2 linked regions of the Arabidopsis thaliana genome follow. The protein of the gene in region 2 interacts with the protein of the main gene of each other region in a pairwise test. Each region holds a gene or a part of one and is shown on either strand. Other genes may lie near its edges.

What was found.
Region 1: the proteins of AT5G42190 (region 2) and FKF1 interact in binary tests that used the Arabidopsis thaliana proteins (3 or more experiments, as listed by UniProt).

The regions. Positions count from the first base shown.
Region 1 is NC_003070.9:25,505,946-25,513,983, forward strand, and holds FKF1 (flavin-binding, kelch repeat, f box 1), read left to right. Parts: upstream 1-2,693; 5' UTR 2,694-2,791; coding exon 2,792-3,063; intron 3,064-3,164; coding exon 3,165-4,752; 3' UTR 4,753-4,962; downstream 4,963-8,038. Other genes in the region: MAP70-1 (microtubule-associated proteins 70-1), read right to left, coding at 5,447-5,486, 5,578-5,765, 5,847-6,377, 6,470-6,541, 6,650-6,796, 6,879-7,034, 7,145-7,315, 7,388-7,558 and 2 more. UniProt on the Arabidopsis thaliana protein: Component of an E3 ubiquitin ligase complex that plays a central role in blue light-dependent circadian cycles.
Region 2 is NC_003076.8:16,851,648-16,859,905, reverse strand, and holds AT5G42190 (E3 ubiquitin ligase SCF complex subunit SKP1/ASK1 family protein), read left to right. Parts: upstream 1-4,164; 5' UTR 4,165-4,389; coding exon 4,390-4,731; intron 4,732-5,237; coding exon 5,238-5,411; 3' UTR 5,412-5,715; downstream 5,716-8,258. Other genes in the region: PER64 (Peroxidase superfamily protein), read right to left, coding at 5,885-6,282, 6,459-6,621, 6,714-6,902, 7,001-7,204; AT5G42170 (SGNH hydrolase-type esterase superfamily protein), read right to left, coding at 8,199-8,258.

The DNA of each region.
Region 1 (8,038 bases), on a different chromosome or scaffold from region 2:
AAACATGTGAATGCCAGATTAGACTAAAGAAGCTGTGAGGATCATTATACATCCTAGCTAGCCTCATAGGCCTACTACACTTATTATTGAGGGTCAACTTTGGGTTGTTTGATTAACAAAATGTATGGCATCTTTTTAAACAAATATATATTTACATTCACTTATCTTCTTACAATGTGATTTGTCCCTTTTAAGGAATCTTGTCCCCCATAAATCATTTGGGACAAAAGAATAAATGAAAAATTTCTCACATTTAAACAAAAATGTTAACACTAACATATATTTAAAATCATATTCTTATTACATTATTTATTTTTAAAATCATACTATTTAAAAATGTTTTTCAATATAAATATATTCTTATTACATTATTTATTAATAAAACCATACTACTTTTTTTTCTTTTAGTATATGATCTCTTTAGTTTTTACTTTTTTGTCTTTTATGTTTTGTTTAATTAATAATCTCGAGTTTTATACTAAACTGAAAGTGCACATGAATATGATATGTATTAAGTTGGATATTGAATCCCACAAAATCAAAAGATTTGATGAACTAAAAAAGTTCACGCAGCAAATTTGTTTTTCATTTGCTGAAGTTTTTATTGACTAATTAATTAGTTAACTAAAACCTGAAAGAAAAGAAAAAACGGAGGTAATAGTTTAGGGTACTGACGTGTGAGCTTACGCAATTTTCGAATTAGGAAGTGAGCTAGATTCTAGGGCTGTGATACGTGAATGTATATACTTTCTGTTTCGTGTTCAAGTCATATTTTAGTTTTTGTTTTGGTAAAAGAAGTCATATTTTAGCTGTGAAATTACAAATATATTTTTGTGATAACATTATAAATATATATTAACATGTGGAACCCTAATTCTCATTAAACTGCTCACGTTAAAGCACATGCAGTACACCAACCATTTAAATTGTTTTGCTTAGCACGATTTTGTTTCATTCATGATTCAAAACTTCAATTTTTCTTCGTCTGTTTTTATATAAATATTCGAAACATTTATAGAATTTTTTTGTTTTTAATTTGTAATTTGGATGTGGTCAAAAATCATACTTGGATCTATATTGATGTTATACATTTCACGACTTCAAAAGAAACTATTGCTCGCTCTATTTCTGTCATTAATTAACTCATAACTTAACTTACACAAAAATTGAGATGATGACAATCATGAAACTATTTAAAAAGAAAAAGACCAGACCGGCCAATGTTAGACTAGGATTAGTGGCTATTATTCTAGTGACAGGGGTGCGATGAGTACCATTGTTTTTGAACATGTCTCTTTGTCTTCGCGATGAACCAAGCGGTCCCAAAAGTATTGGCAATAGATAGAGCCTCAATACCTTTAATTAATTATAAATTTCCCTGAATTTATATTCTCCAAAAATGAATGTTATTTTTTTCATCAATCAAAAAAAGTTGTTGGGTTTTAGTCCACCAAAAAGATGTTTGAGTTTCGATTGTTTGTGTTCAAAAAATCAAATTACATAACAAAAGCCAGAACTTTTTTTTATATCAAAAAGTAAAGAAAAAATAAGAAAAACAAAAAATCATAACTTTTTTTATTGAGGTGATAAGGAATGTAATTTATTGACGTCTTGTGAACCCGATATAAATCTAAAACTTGAAGTAGCTAATGAAACATAACAGGAAATGTTGGAGTGGTATAGAAATTACCTTTAATTTACCTTTAATTGTATAGAAATTAAAGATAAAATAAAAAGATAAATCTATGAAACAATTATTTTGTCTATATACCAAAAGGGTTAGTTTTCTTGTGTTTAGTTTTTTGGAATGGAAATATATTATTTAAATTGGAATATTTTTTTGGTTGAACACAATTGGAATATGTAAAGGTTGATTTCATGTACTTGAAAGATTATGGTCAGAAGCCTTCTCACACGGTTAAGAAAAATAAAAAAAATATGTTGTCTATTTATTTGGTTCAAATTAAGTTTTTGTGTGGGCTTTGTGGGCTAGCTATTTAGTATGGGCCTAGATCTGGACTTCTGTAAATCTTAGGACTACACTTAACTCTATTACTCTCATAGTATGCCACTATGTGGGGTCTATGGCCACTATTGCTATCAATTATTACATATTTACATTACTTACGTACATTTTCGTATTTCTAATGTAATTTTTTTGTTTAGAAACTTATATAAGTGGGAAGTTTTAGAGCTAAATCTGAATTTTCTCAACTGGGGAGAAAAACTCCCTTGTCTCATCATCCCATTCCACTCACCACGAAAACTCAATTTGTTACATTAACATTATGTGTAACCTTTTCGAGAATCGCGTTTCACAAAAATATCTATTATTTGACCAGAGTCAACGGTTACGTGAATCTGATTCCAATTGCGTTCCAACTTCCAAGTTCCAACACTTCACAAACAAAAACAAATATCTTCCCTCAAATCTCAATCTTCAAAAAAAAAACAAATATCTTTCACAAAATATGATGACGTGGAAGAAGCGAGTGGTTGAGTAGGCTAGATATTTTCTCGGAATATCCCCTGGTGACGTGTTACAATCGAACAAGAGTAGACTTACTTTTTTTAAACATACCCCTGATATATCCTTTTAATTACGAAAATTGCCACCAACTCCTGGCGCGAAGACTTCTTGCCTCGTCTTAAATATAAAGGGTATATTCGTCAATAAGTCACCAACTAAGCCAAGATATTTTAAAAGTTTAAACAGACACAAAAAGAAATAAAATATCATAAGGCTGAGAGCTTATCAGAGAAGAAGAAGATATTTCTGTAAGCGAGAAAAATGGCGAGAGAACATGCGATCGGAGAAGCCACCGGAAAACGAAAGAAACGCGGCAGAGTTGAAGAAGCAGAAGAATACTGTAACGATGGAATCGAAGAACAAGTAGAGGATGAGAAGCTTCCGTTAGAGGTTGGGATGTTCTATTACCCAATGACTCCGCCTTCGTTCATTGTTTCCGATGCTCTGGAGCCAGATTTTCCTTTGATCTATGTCAACAGAGTCTTCGAAGTCTTCACTGGCTATCGTGCCGATGAAGTTCTTGGTCGTAACTGGTATATTAATTTCTCCGATTTCCCCCTTTTTGAATTGGAGTGTGTTGTTATCAATTCTCTTGAATAATGCTGCATTTGTGGTTGAATCTGCTTGGTTTCAGTCGATTCCTACAGTACAGAGATCCTCGAGCTCAAAGGCGTCACCCATTGGTTGATCCTGTGGTTGTATCTGAGATTAGGAGATGTCTTGAAGAAGGTATTGAATTCCAAGGAGAGCTTCTTAATTTCAGAAAAGATGGTACTCCTTTGGTTAACAGACTACGGCTTGCTCCAATACGTGACGATGATGGAACCATTACACACGTAATTGGGATACAGGTCTTCTCTGAAACGACTATAGACCTTGACCGTGTCTCGTATCCTGTGTTCAAACATAAACAACAGCTTGATCAAACATCTGAGTGCTTGTTTCCAAGTGGAAGCCCGAGGTTTAAGGAGCATCATGAAGATTTCTGTGGGATATTGCAGCTATCTGATGAAGTTTTGGCTCATAACATCTTATCTCGGTTAACTCCAAGGGACGTTGCTTCAATTGGTTCTGCTTGCAGGAGGTTGAGGCAGTTGACGAAGAACGAGAGTGTGAGGAAGATGGTATGTCAGAATGCGTGGGGAAAAGAGATAACTGGAACACTGGAGATTATGACTAAGAAGCTAAGATGGGGTCGGTTAGCTAGAGAGCTCACCACTCTTGAAGCTGTGTGTTGGCGTAAATTTACTGTTGGAGGGATTGTACAACCTTCCCGCTGCAATTTCAGCGCGTGTGCTGTTGGGAACCGGCTTGTGCTATTTGGTGGGGAAGGGGTTAACATGCAGCCATTGGATGATACTTTTGTTCTCAATCTTGATGCAGAGTGTCCTGAGTGGCAGCGTGTGAGGGTGACGTCGTCGCCTCCAGGACGTTGGGGACACACACTCTCGTGTCTCAACGGGTCGTGGTTGGTAGTCTTTGGAGGGTGTGGAAGACAAGGATTGCTTAATGATGTATTTGTGCTTGATCTAGACGCTAAGCATCCCACATGGAAGGAAGTAGCAGGAGGAACTCCTCCATTGCCAAGATCTTGGCACAGCTCGTGCACCATTGAGGGCTCTAAACTGGTTGTCTCAGGTGGCTGCACAGACGCTGGAGTGCTTCTCAGCGACACCTTCTTGTTGGATCTGACAACAGATAAACCGACATGGAAAGAGATCCCGACATCATGGGCTCCTCCTTCTAGACTTGGGCATTCTTTATCGGTCTTTGGTCGGACTAAAATCCTAATGTTTGGCGGGCTTGCAAATAGTGGTCATCTAAAGCTAAGGTCAGGGGAGGCATACACTATAGACTTGGAGGATGAAGAACCAAGATGGAGAGAGCTTGAGTGTAGCGCATTCCCAGGCGTGGTTGTACCGCCTCCAAGACTAGACCATGTGGCTGTGAGCATGCCGTGTGGTAGGGTCATCATCTTTGGAGGGTCGATTGCAGGGCTTCACTCTCCTTCGCAACTGTTTCTAATAGATCCTGCAGAAGAGAAACCGTCATGGAGGATCCTGAATGTCCCCGGGAAACCGCCTAAGTTAGCTTGGGGACATAGCACATGCGTTGTTGGAGGAACTAGAGTATTGGTCCTTGGTGGTCACACTGGTGAGGAATGGATACTCAATGAATTACATGAACTCTGCTTGGCTAGCCGGCAAGACTCGGATCTGTAAAGACTCTTTCCTTCTTCATTTGGTTTGTGGTTTTGTATCTGTCACATTCCAAACTCTTACGACATGTAGAAGAGATATATCAGAAGCTAGAAGCGTGTGTACATAGTAAATTAGTGATTGTTGTACGCTTTAGATAGATATTCATGTAATGTTAATGGTTTTGCTGTATGAAGATCCTTCTATAATATACTTCTCCTTGTTACTCGACCATGCAGGATTTGATTTTTGACGTACCATCCAAAAGAGAGAAGACACTGAGTTTGGACATATATATATATATCCACAAACCCAAAAGTAGAAATAATCACACAACACCTCAAGTAAATAGAATGAAGAAACCGAAAAAGTAAAGTACACAAACTTCAATACAGAGCTAAAACCTATACAGCCAAACAAACTACTTCCATAGGACAGAAAATGTTATGCGAAAATGTCAAACATCTCTCCCTCCACCCTTTTTTCTTGTCGTCATCGCTAAGCAGTGTAAGCCGATCTAAGTCAGAAAGCATACTTATCTTTTTCATCCTTAAGTTCTATGGTAATTCAATAAATCACAGAGGATGTAAAGGAAAGCAAGAGAAATAAAAAAGAGATATAAAGGTTAAAAAGAGCTTAAAAATCACACCAGCCTATAACGGTTTTACTTGTTTAAACTGATACGACCACAAGAACTAGTCACATCTCCTCCCTCATCTCATTGTGTACTCCTTGTTAACCCACTTCGGCCAGCAGCTCTGCAGAATATCGAACACCAAGCTTAGTCTGATTGCTAAAATCGCAATTTGATCATAAAAATAGACAAAGATATTCAACATTGTTAGATACCTTGCAGCAAGAATCTGGGCGGTGTTGGATGAGGGTTTGGTGTTTGAAGACCTTTTAGCTCTATTATCCTGATCTTTATCCACACGCATTGCAGCAACCTCTTTCTCCATTGCAGCCACTTCCCTTCTCATCTTCTTTGCTTCAACTTCCATTGCCTTTGTTAAAGTTTCAACCTTTTTTGCTAACATCTACAAGAAAAATATCAAGACTTCCATTACAAACACGTCTTTTTAACAACATTTTATATGGTACATTCAGAGAGATTTTACCTCTATGGCATCATCCTTGTCTTTGAGGCTTTGATCCTTTTCATGCGAAGATTTTCTCAAGGCGACTACTTCCTTCTGTAGTAAATCATACAAAACCCCTGGGACATTGTCTTCGGTTGCTGGTGCAGGGAGTTCACTTGGTGGCTTCTCTTCTGAATCTTCTTTCCAGGTATTAGGTGACTCTGATTCTTTGGTTTCATCACAAGCCTTGTTGAACGAATAATTCCCAGGTCCTTTTAAGAGTGCTTTGCCTCTATCCAATGATCTTGTGCCTCCATCGAATGACTTGGATGTTCCTTTAGCATTCTTCAATACCGAGGTGGAATTAGAAGTAAAGGAATTTCTCATCGGAGTTTTCTTTGACAAAAAGCCATTTGACGCAAACTTTTGTAAATTATCTGATCCACCGATTGACTGCCTGCGAGACGGTCCATTACTCATGCTTCTTCCCTCAGGTGTGTTCCTTATGCTGATGCTTGATGTGCCTCTCAGTGTCTCTTCAAGCACTCTAAGTCGTAGTTGAAACTTGTCCTAGAAATTGTATAAGGAAATAGTTTACTAATTAGTTCAGTTAAACAAGAACATAAATTCGACAATGACTAATGCATAAATACGATGAATACTTTTAGCTGTGCTTCAGATTTCGCAGCTCGATCTGATATGGCAAGCTTATCGCGGAGTTGCTGCATTTCTCCCTGCAAGAAGAGAGTTAAAGAGTGAGAATGTAAGGTTGTGTGCCTTTGTCACTTCAAAGAATCTGGATTCCACAAATTTAGGAAAAGGGCAATCATATCAAAGTAAACCTGTAGAAACCTTCTTTCTTCAAGCCATTGCTTCACAGGCATCACTTTATCATTACCATCTTTCCATTCATTTGCAACCACTGTCGCAACTCTGTTTGCTGTAACCTTTGCACGCGCAAGTTCCCGGTCAAGAGTTTTTCGTTCTTCCTGCAAAAGTAGAGCAAGAAATATTCCTTCATCAGTTGAGTAAAGATTCTATACTTCTTTTTTCGGAAATGTATTAACTTACGTTCATCTCTTGAAACTTCCGCTGGTAATCCCTCACGGCATTTGCAGCAGCACCACCAGCAAGAACGGCCTCTTCCAGTTCCCGTACAGTCTGAGTAAGCTTTTCCACCTCCGCAACCTTTTGCCTGTGCATTCGGTCTAGAATTTTGTTTTCTTCCTAAAGAATCAAACAGATAATAGAAATTATTAACAAACAATGAGTGATAAGTAGAAGGCATCCAAAGCCTGACTAACTAGATACAAAGAAGATGATAATGAGTACAGCACCTGACAGATTTCTATTTGTTTCATCAACTCTTGGTTCTTATTCTGAAGATCATCAACTAAAGCAGCTTTCGCCAGAGCAGTTTCAACAGTCCTCTCAGCATCAAGTAAAGCCGCTTCTTTTGATTTAGTGAGACGATCCAAAGCTCTGTTATCTTCTTGAAGCTTCCCAATCTTCACAGAAACATCATAAATTAATATCCGATTTGCAAGTAGAAATTTGGACTTCAAATGAGTAAAACATACCTCAGAGCGAGCTAGCTTAAGCTCAGCTTCCAATGGAGCTAGAATGGCTTCAATCGGAGGCATATCATCATCCTTTTGAGCAGCATGGACCCTTCTTAAGGTAGCTTCAGCAGCAAACTGAGCAGCCATGGAAGCCTTCTTCTCCTCATTGATCTTCTTGATTTCTAGATTCTGCAACATAGTTCATAATCAGATATCCAGCCAAATCATGATCGTAAGGAGGGAGATTTTGATACATACTTTGCTTTGGAGAAGCGATTCAGTTAACTTGAGCTTCCCATCCAACTTAGCTAGCTCATCAGTAAGCTATTAAAATTCCAAAGCACATAAGATAAAAATCAGCTAACAAGAAGCACAATAAGGAACTTGAAACTACACATAAGCTATCAATCTTCTCTAACAACATTGCCATAACCTAATCCATAAGCCACAAAAAACAAACAAAATCTTCCAAAAAAGGAAAAAAAAAATCACACCTCTTCACAAGCTTTCTCTCTTTGTCTCTCAGATAACCTCAACGCTTTGATCTCAGCATTAGCTTCACTTAATTCTCGATCCTTATCTAAAACCACATTTGAAAAAACAAAGTCAATAAACAAAATCAGATCTGAATCGACACGAAAACGACTAGATCGAGCAAGCATTGATCTC
Region 2 (8,258 bases):
AGTAGAACTGGATAATACTCTTTTGTTTTGTCAATCAAAAGATCATGAATTATGTGATCGAGCACGAGATAGCATATAGGATAAGGTTTTGTATGCTTATGTTATTGGCCACCATATGTCTGTGATGGCATGCTTAAGATCGGAGACAGATTGTAGAGGGGAAGTTATTAGCTAGTTACAATAAGCAGTTTAGAAAATAACATCTTTGACAAACATTTTTTGGAAAATACTCCCTCTGTTTTAGAATATAGGATTTTTTGGGGAATTGTTTTTTTGGTTTCAAAATAAAAGATGTTTTACAAATTTCTATGCAACTTTTCAATGCATTTAATATTTTATTATCATTGGTTAAAAATTTTAAAACTAAATTTTACTCCCTAAATTTCTATGGAGTCAATGATAGTTAGAAAATAAAATCTTAAAATATGTATTTTTAACTAAAACATCCTATAATTAATATGAAACAAGAGTCTAACAATATTAAAGGTTTTAAGCGGACTTTTAGGAATCTGAAATAGAATATAATAAAGCTCACCATTATTTTCGAGAAGTAAAAGATGAGAGATTTGTTGATGATAAAAGTGGTGGTGATCAGTACAGTCGGATATACATTTTTAATGGTAATATAATTTTTGGTTTCAAAGTTAAAGAAGATTAAAGCTTTGTTTATGAAGCTGAGTATGCCGGATTCTGTTAACAATAGTGTTCATTTCGTTTTTGTTAACATCATTTGGTTTTTGTTTCGACTAATTTTTATATGAATTTATTTATTTTTTTCTTTTTTTGAATCTGTAATTGTAAATGGTATTAAGCCTAGTCCAAGCAAAATTTACCAGTTAAATAGACAGCGATATAGGTGTTGAGTTAATCAGGGCAAACTCTTGTACTTAAAGATGTACTTATATGTCTGACTAGTATGATGAGAGCCATACAATGTACATGATAGGTGGTGTCCTAGTGCATGTGACGTTATGTAAAACAAAACTAGGATTTTATAAAACCCACATTTTTTTATGGTGTTCAATCAATTCTTGTGGTTTCGTTATTTAATTACTTGAACGTCATAATGTCTTGGTAAAACACCCTTTTAATGTTTTCCTATCTGTCACGTGTTTGTTCATATTACGTACGTTGGATTCACACGAAACACATTTCTACACCAGTTTCATACAACCTTTATATGAAAATATGTTTTTACTTAGACTACTACTCAGAATCTTAATTAGTCCATACAGAAGAATACAAAGCAGAAAAAATATCATTAAGAACCTCAGAAAATAGAGCAACATAAAAGCTCTATAATACTACTATTGAAGCTCTTTCATTTTGGAAGAAAATAAATTAGCCAACAGAATATAGAACAACATGGCACAACACTTTTCTCGACATTTAAGTTCTGAAAAAGCAATGCTAATTATTAATTTAACCTGCTTAACTTTTTTCCAACAAAATTATAAATTCTGTTTCTTTTAATTATTAATGAAGAAATCATGAGCTATCGTATTATACAATGTTTGCGGTTGTATGGCCATTTGTGTTTTGGGCCGGTAAAATGGAATTTCAAAGCTAGGGTCGTTGATTTATTTGCTTTTCTGTGACCGGTGAAATGGAATTTCAAAATTTCTCTTTACCTTACTTTGAGACTAAAAGTATTTTCTTCTTCTATGCTTACAAAAAGTACTTTAGTTTGAGAGCTGTATAAAATAATAGCAATCATGTTCTAGGAATTAGAGGCGACGGAGAAGTCCAATCCACTAAAAAGTTAAAGAAGATAGCACTTGAAGATAATGCGTTAAAGTAGTTATTTATTTTCTAACAAATAAATTTCAATTAAATAGGCGCTATATTTACTAGACTGGTTTACATTAATTTACATTAATATAAAGAACAATATTAATTTACATTATGTATTTTTTATATTATTTACATTAATTTATTACTAAAATGTTTTTATTTTCGTTTCTAGAATCTTTTCTACATTCAAAATATACAACAGAAATTAAATTAAAAAGTATAATTACAGAAGCATCAATGCATAAAATCTCTAGAGCTGATTATGTATAAAATAATCGACGGTACTAAAAAATTGCAACAACTGATTTTTTCGAGAAAAAAAATTGACTGCTATAAAATTGACCATGTATTCAGTTATTCAGACCTGGTCTTGTCTTGACTCCTTCAGCATAGCTGAGAAAATCCATGTTTACGGTCTAGTGAACAATATTTGGGTTCACTTATTAGGTAAATCTTTTTATTTATTTCCTCTTATCTTAAGTTTTTAACCAATCTGAATTCGTTATTTAATAAAAGAAATTTAAACTCATTTAATTATAAAATTTAAATCATAATCATTTTTTTATAAACTCAAACTCATATATAATTTAGTCTAATTATAAAATCTAAATCCTAATTTTTTTATTTCAGCCAATCAGAATATACTACCTAATAAAAAGTTAAAAAAACTTATTTAATTATAAATAAAAAATCTAAATTCTAAATAAAAAGTAAAAAAAAATTAAATTCTAACCACTTTTTAAAAAATTCAAACCAAAATGTAATCTCGTTTAATTATAAAATCTAACCCTAGTTCTTCTTTGTACACCCAATTCGATATTTAAACTCTTTTAATTGCAAACTCTAAATCTCTAACCGTTCTTTCTAAACCCAAACCGATATTTAACATTGTTTAATTATAAAATCTAAATCCATTTATAAAACCAAACAGACGTTCAATCTCGTTTAGTTATAAAATCTAAAACTGTTTATAACTCAAATCGATATTTAATAGTAAAATCTAAACTTCAATCCTTTCTTATAAACCCAAAACTATATAAAATTTTGTTCTTGTGGCAAATTAGATTTTATAATAAAATAAATTTAATTTATTTATTAGGTATAAATTCTAATTTAATGGAATAAAAAGGTGAATAAAGGGGTGAATCTAAATATATTTTTTATTGGCCCATATTTTTTACTAGGATAATGGCCGATTATGCTTTGGTGAAAATTTAGATAACGCAAGTTAGATTTTTCTCACTTTATTTAATAAGATAAGATTTTAGCGGGGATGAAATTTTTACAAGCGAATCCCTCAATATTTCACTTATGTTCGTGGATGATAGCTTCTTTTTTGTAAAACGACAAAAAAAACAATGCGTCATTGGATTTGGAATACTAAAGAACTATGAAGAGGTTTTTGGTCATGAGTTGACAACTCGATGATGGACAAACTTATGGCAATCTTCGAAATCACTAATATAGGGGACATGAACAACTACTTGAGATTATCGAAAAGTTTAGGAGGATCTAAGACAAAAAAAATTTACTCTTTTAGAAAATATTTACATAATAGAATAAATGGTTGGTTTACAAAATTCTTATCTAAAGATGGCAAAGAAGTATTGATTAAATCAGTACCAGATGCATTGCTTACTTATGTATTGTCTTGTTTTAGATTACCAAAATCAGTAACATCAAAACTTAGGAATGTAGTAACGAAATTTTGGTAGAGTTCCAATGGACGAACAAAACGTTTACAGTGGAAGGCATGAGATAAATTTTGTCATAGTGCCTCTCTGCTCTCCCTCTCCTCCTCCGGGTGCCTCTCTGCTTGCTACTTGGTTCCGTCTCTTCAGTTAGGTCCTCCTCTGCGGTTCAGGTTTCCTTATGAGTTTTTTGAGTCCTTGGGTCGTTCCCTCTTCGTTCTTTTGGTTTTTGGGCCTGCTATTTTTAAGTTTCAGCTTCTTTGGTTGTTTTGGGCTTTGCTCTTGTTGTCGGGCCTGCGCGCCTTGGATTTGAGCTTTTGGATGTGTATGTTTTCGAGCCTGTGTGCTTATGTTTGGACACTTGTCTTATAACTTGTTGTTTGTTTTAATGGAAATTTAAAATTAAAAAAAAATAAGAAAAATAAAATAAAAAATAAATAAGTTTTGTCGTAACGGTGGACTTGGTTTCTAGAATGTGGATGATTTTAATACAACTTAATTAGCAAAACAACTGCCGCAATTGATTATGATTCTTAACTCTTTATTTGCAAAGATGTTCAAAGAAAAATATTACCGGAAATCAAATCACATGAATCCAATTAAATTATACACACCATCCTACAAATAGAGGAGTTTAGTATCTGTTCAACTACTGATTAATCAAAAGTTGATGAAAAGAGTTGAATTAATTTTCAGGTGTTTTCCTTTGAAAGAAAAAAACAGAGAAAATGTTTTAAAATGAAAATTTATAGGTAAAAAAAGTCAATTGGGAATCGTTAGATCTCACTGGTTCAATGTGTGAGCCGGGCTTTAAAAACATTTTGATTTAACCCATACACACATCTCTCTGTTCCACGATTCTCTTCCTCAGCCTCCACGTCGTCTCTAAACTCAGCAAAAACCAATGTCGACGGTGAGAAAAATCACTCTTAAGAGTTCGGATGGCGAAAACTTCGAAATTGACGAAGCGGTGGCGCTAGAGTCACAAACCATCAAACATATGATTGAAGATGACTGTACCGATAATGGTATCCCTCTCCCTAATGTCACAAGCAAGATCCTTTCGAAGGTGATTGAGTACTGTAAGAGACATGTCGAAGCTGCTGAGAAATCCGAAACCACGGCCGATGCTGCTGCTGCTACTACTACCACCACCGTCGCGTCGGGTTCTAGTGATGAAGATCTCAAGACTTGGGATTCTGAGTTTATCAAAGTTGATCAGGGCACTCTCTTCGATCTTATCCTGGTTTGTCAAACTTATTTTTAATTGCTTTGGTTTTCAAAGTTTGCGATTTCATTTCTAGGGTTTGAGATCTTGATTTCTGTTTGAGATCTAATTTTAGGGTTCAGGTTTTGTTTAGATTGCCAATTTCACAGTTTAAACTATGATCATGTCTGATTGAAATATATGGTCTGATAGAGAAAAAAGTGTCAAGAGATTTCTTTTGAGTTTGTTGGATTTGTTTATAGCTGAAGACCACTTTACATCCAAACTCATGTTTTTTATGTTCTGTCTTAAACATTGGATAATGTTTAATTTCTTTGGGATTTGCTTGAATCTAGATTTGTTTTTCTGAGAAACCTTTTGGATGCTAACATGACATGTTTTGTTCTGTCTGAAACGAGTGATAAAGTTTATTTTCTTTGGAATCGTAGTTCAATATGTTTGATTTGCTTGAACAATAAAGTTCCATTTTTATCTGAAAGTTGAAGAGCTTGAATCTAAGTTGGTTTCCCTGTGACACCTTTTAGGCTGCTAACTACTTGAATATCAAGGGACTGTTGGACTTGACTTGCCAGACAGTGGCTGATATGATTAAAGGAAAAACCCCAGAAGAAATCCGTAAGACGTTCAATATCAAGAACGACTTCACGCCAGAGGAAGAAGAAGAGGTTCGCCGTGAGAATCAGTGGGCGTTTGAATGAAGAAAAATGAAGACCTAGGTTGCTGTCATGTCCTCGACCCATTTGTGTCTCCCTGTCTTATCTTCTTTCTTTGACTATATATCCATTCTCTTCTACGTGATGGTCCAGCTAAGACAGTGGGTCGGATGTTAATGTTATGTTATGTATGTCAAATTAAAGACTTAACTACGAAACATATTGAAGTTGTTGCTCAAAAGAGAGTGTTGGTCTTCTATTGTTTCGTCAATCATTTAGATAGGTTGTGAACACAAGTGATAAGATTTGTCTGCATGTTCTTAGAAAGAGAAAAGATCTTATTACTTGTAAATAAATGCCTATACAAGCACACACGAGAGATTGATAGATAATTCTGATACAAGAACCTCTGCCTTAATCTTTAGAAAGGCCCATTCACAAGTAATCAATGTGACGAAAGAAAACGAAAGACATAAAAATGTAGTAGTAACGTGATGTTGGAAGCGTAGATTGAGATTCTAGCGAACCCTTCTGCAGTTAAGTCTGACCTCATTGCCATTCCCACTGATACTACTCATCTTGATCATCGATTTCACAAAAGCCCTCTCGAACTCTTCGTTGGAATTTGCATATTTGGCCACGAGTTTCTTAGTAGAGGGTACTGCAAGAAGCGATTCGTCGGATGAGAATAGTGACTTGCCTTGGATAAGCATCTTGTAGTAGATATTGTCGAATGACGTCACGGTTCCATCCATGTTCGATCCAGCATTCTTCACCGTGTTATGGGCCGGGCACACTCCCTCCAACCTGGCTGCGAATGAGGGGTTTAGTGTTGGGTCAACCTCCTTTTGTGTGTTGAATTTATGGAGCCTATTCTGGAACGATGAACAGTGGGCGAATCCTAGTGTATGACCTCCTGCCATTTCATTCAACATTCGGAATTTAAACCATTATAAGCATTGGAACTATATTTGTCTTTTGCCAATTATTTTTAAAATTTAGATTTATGTTGCATCTTTTAGCATAGTTTAAGAAAAAGATTTTAGAAATCTTTGTAAATATATTTTAAGTGAGTGCGAGAATGTTTAATACCAGAGAGAGCAACAAGATCATGCATAGAGAGGCCTCTTTGGCCAAAATTTTGACGCAATTGAGAAATGTTGAAAGTAGGAGCTGGTAGTTGTCTTGTTTCTATTGCCTTTGATATTCTTCCATCTTTTCTCCCTTTTGGCACTGCCCATGTAGGCCCTCCTGACTATAGTAACATCCACAAATAATATTTTAGGTGGATCATTAGAATCATCAAATAAAAGTAGTACTTGGAATTTGAGATGGAGAGAGACTTACGAGAGCGACAGCATCTCTTGCCGCAAGTGAAAGAATGTCGGCGCAAGAGACGATACCGGGACATTGTTCTTCTAATGCCTTCTTTGCATTGTCAATCACATAAAATGCATGGAGTGAGATGTTAGGAGGTCCATCTTTCTCTGCTTTGTTCTTCCCCTTAGAGTCTAAGAGAACTGAGCCATCACATCCCTTTAATGATCAAAAGTATCACCAACAACATTATTTAGAGTATAAAGACATAAAAAGACCGAAAGATGACAACAATGTTGTGTGTAAGAAGTTGTTACTCTGACGAAACAGTCGTGGAAATGCATCCTCAAAAGCGCAGCAGGGACAGTTTGGTCGTTTGACATGGCTTTCTTGACTGCATTGGTTACAATGTGGTCGGCTTGTGGACAAGTATGGTCGTAGTAGTGAGGACTGAGTGCTTGGACATCGAAAGAAACTACAAAAATGACTATGACAAGGAGATTGAGCATGTGTGCATTCATTTTAACAAACTTTTCGAAATTTTAATTTCTTGAGTGAAAAGAAATGTATTTAGAATGAATTTGTTGGGTTGCTTATGTGATGAAGAATGGATCAAGGTTTTATAGGCATAGTTAAAGGAGTTTAAATTTTGGGAGATGGAGTTGTTAGTGAGATGATAAGGTTGTTAAGCAAATTAGGTCATGTAGACAAGACTCGTTTAATTTTGGTTGTGGTGGAGTAGAGTTGAAGACTTAATAATTTAGATTCCTGAAAATGACAGAACAAAACAAAGGAAAAAAGTTCACTAGAGATTTATTGGTTAATAGATATTAACGAGTTTTTAACGAGTTTTGTCATTTGATAACTCTAAACAACCAATTTGGTTGCAGTGGAGTAGAGTTAAAGCATTGCTAATATTTGATTCCTGAAAATGACTGAAAACAAAGGAAACAAATTGACTAGAGCAATAATATGTGTGGTATGAGAGATTTATTAATTGTTCACGTACAAATTAACGAATTTTTATGAAAGTTGATGGATCTTGACATTTGATATTACAATTCCAAACAACCAAGTTTGCTTTTAAACATATTCACACAAATAATAAGTATGTTTTTAATAATATTAAAACAACCTACCAAATACTGTCGAAACATAAAAACCAAAAAAACATGATTGATTTTTTTTTTTTGAGAGAAAAGCGAAAGCCACGGTGTCTCAAACGGTATGTCGTTGACTTTGTTGTCGACATGTACAATTGTGTAGTGGATGCCTTCTATTTCTTCGTCTTGTTCTCGTACGTATGTTTTATTCTTTTTTTTAGCCATTACGAAACTAGTCTAATCCAATATAACCTGTTTTTTTAATTGATAAATCATTTTTAACAAACTATATTGAATCTATTTAATCTAAATGAACATTTAAATACTATTTCTTATTATTGAAAAAATATTTTTTTTTTTTACGTTTTTACATAGGAAAAAATATTACTTAGTATATTATAAAAATATAGAATTAGACTAGTTTCGTAATGTAATTTCCTAACAACTTATCAACTATTATTTGGTAAGCTTT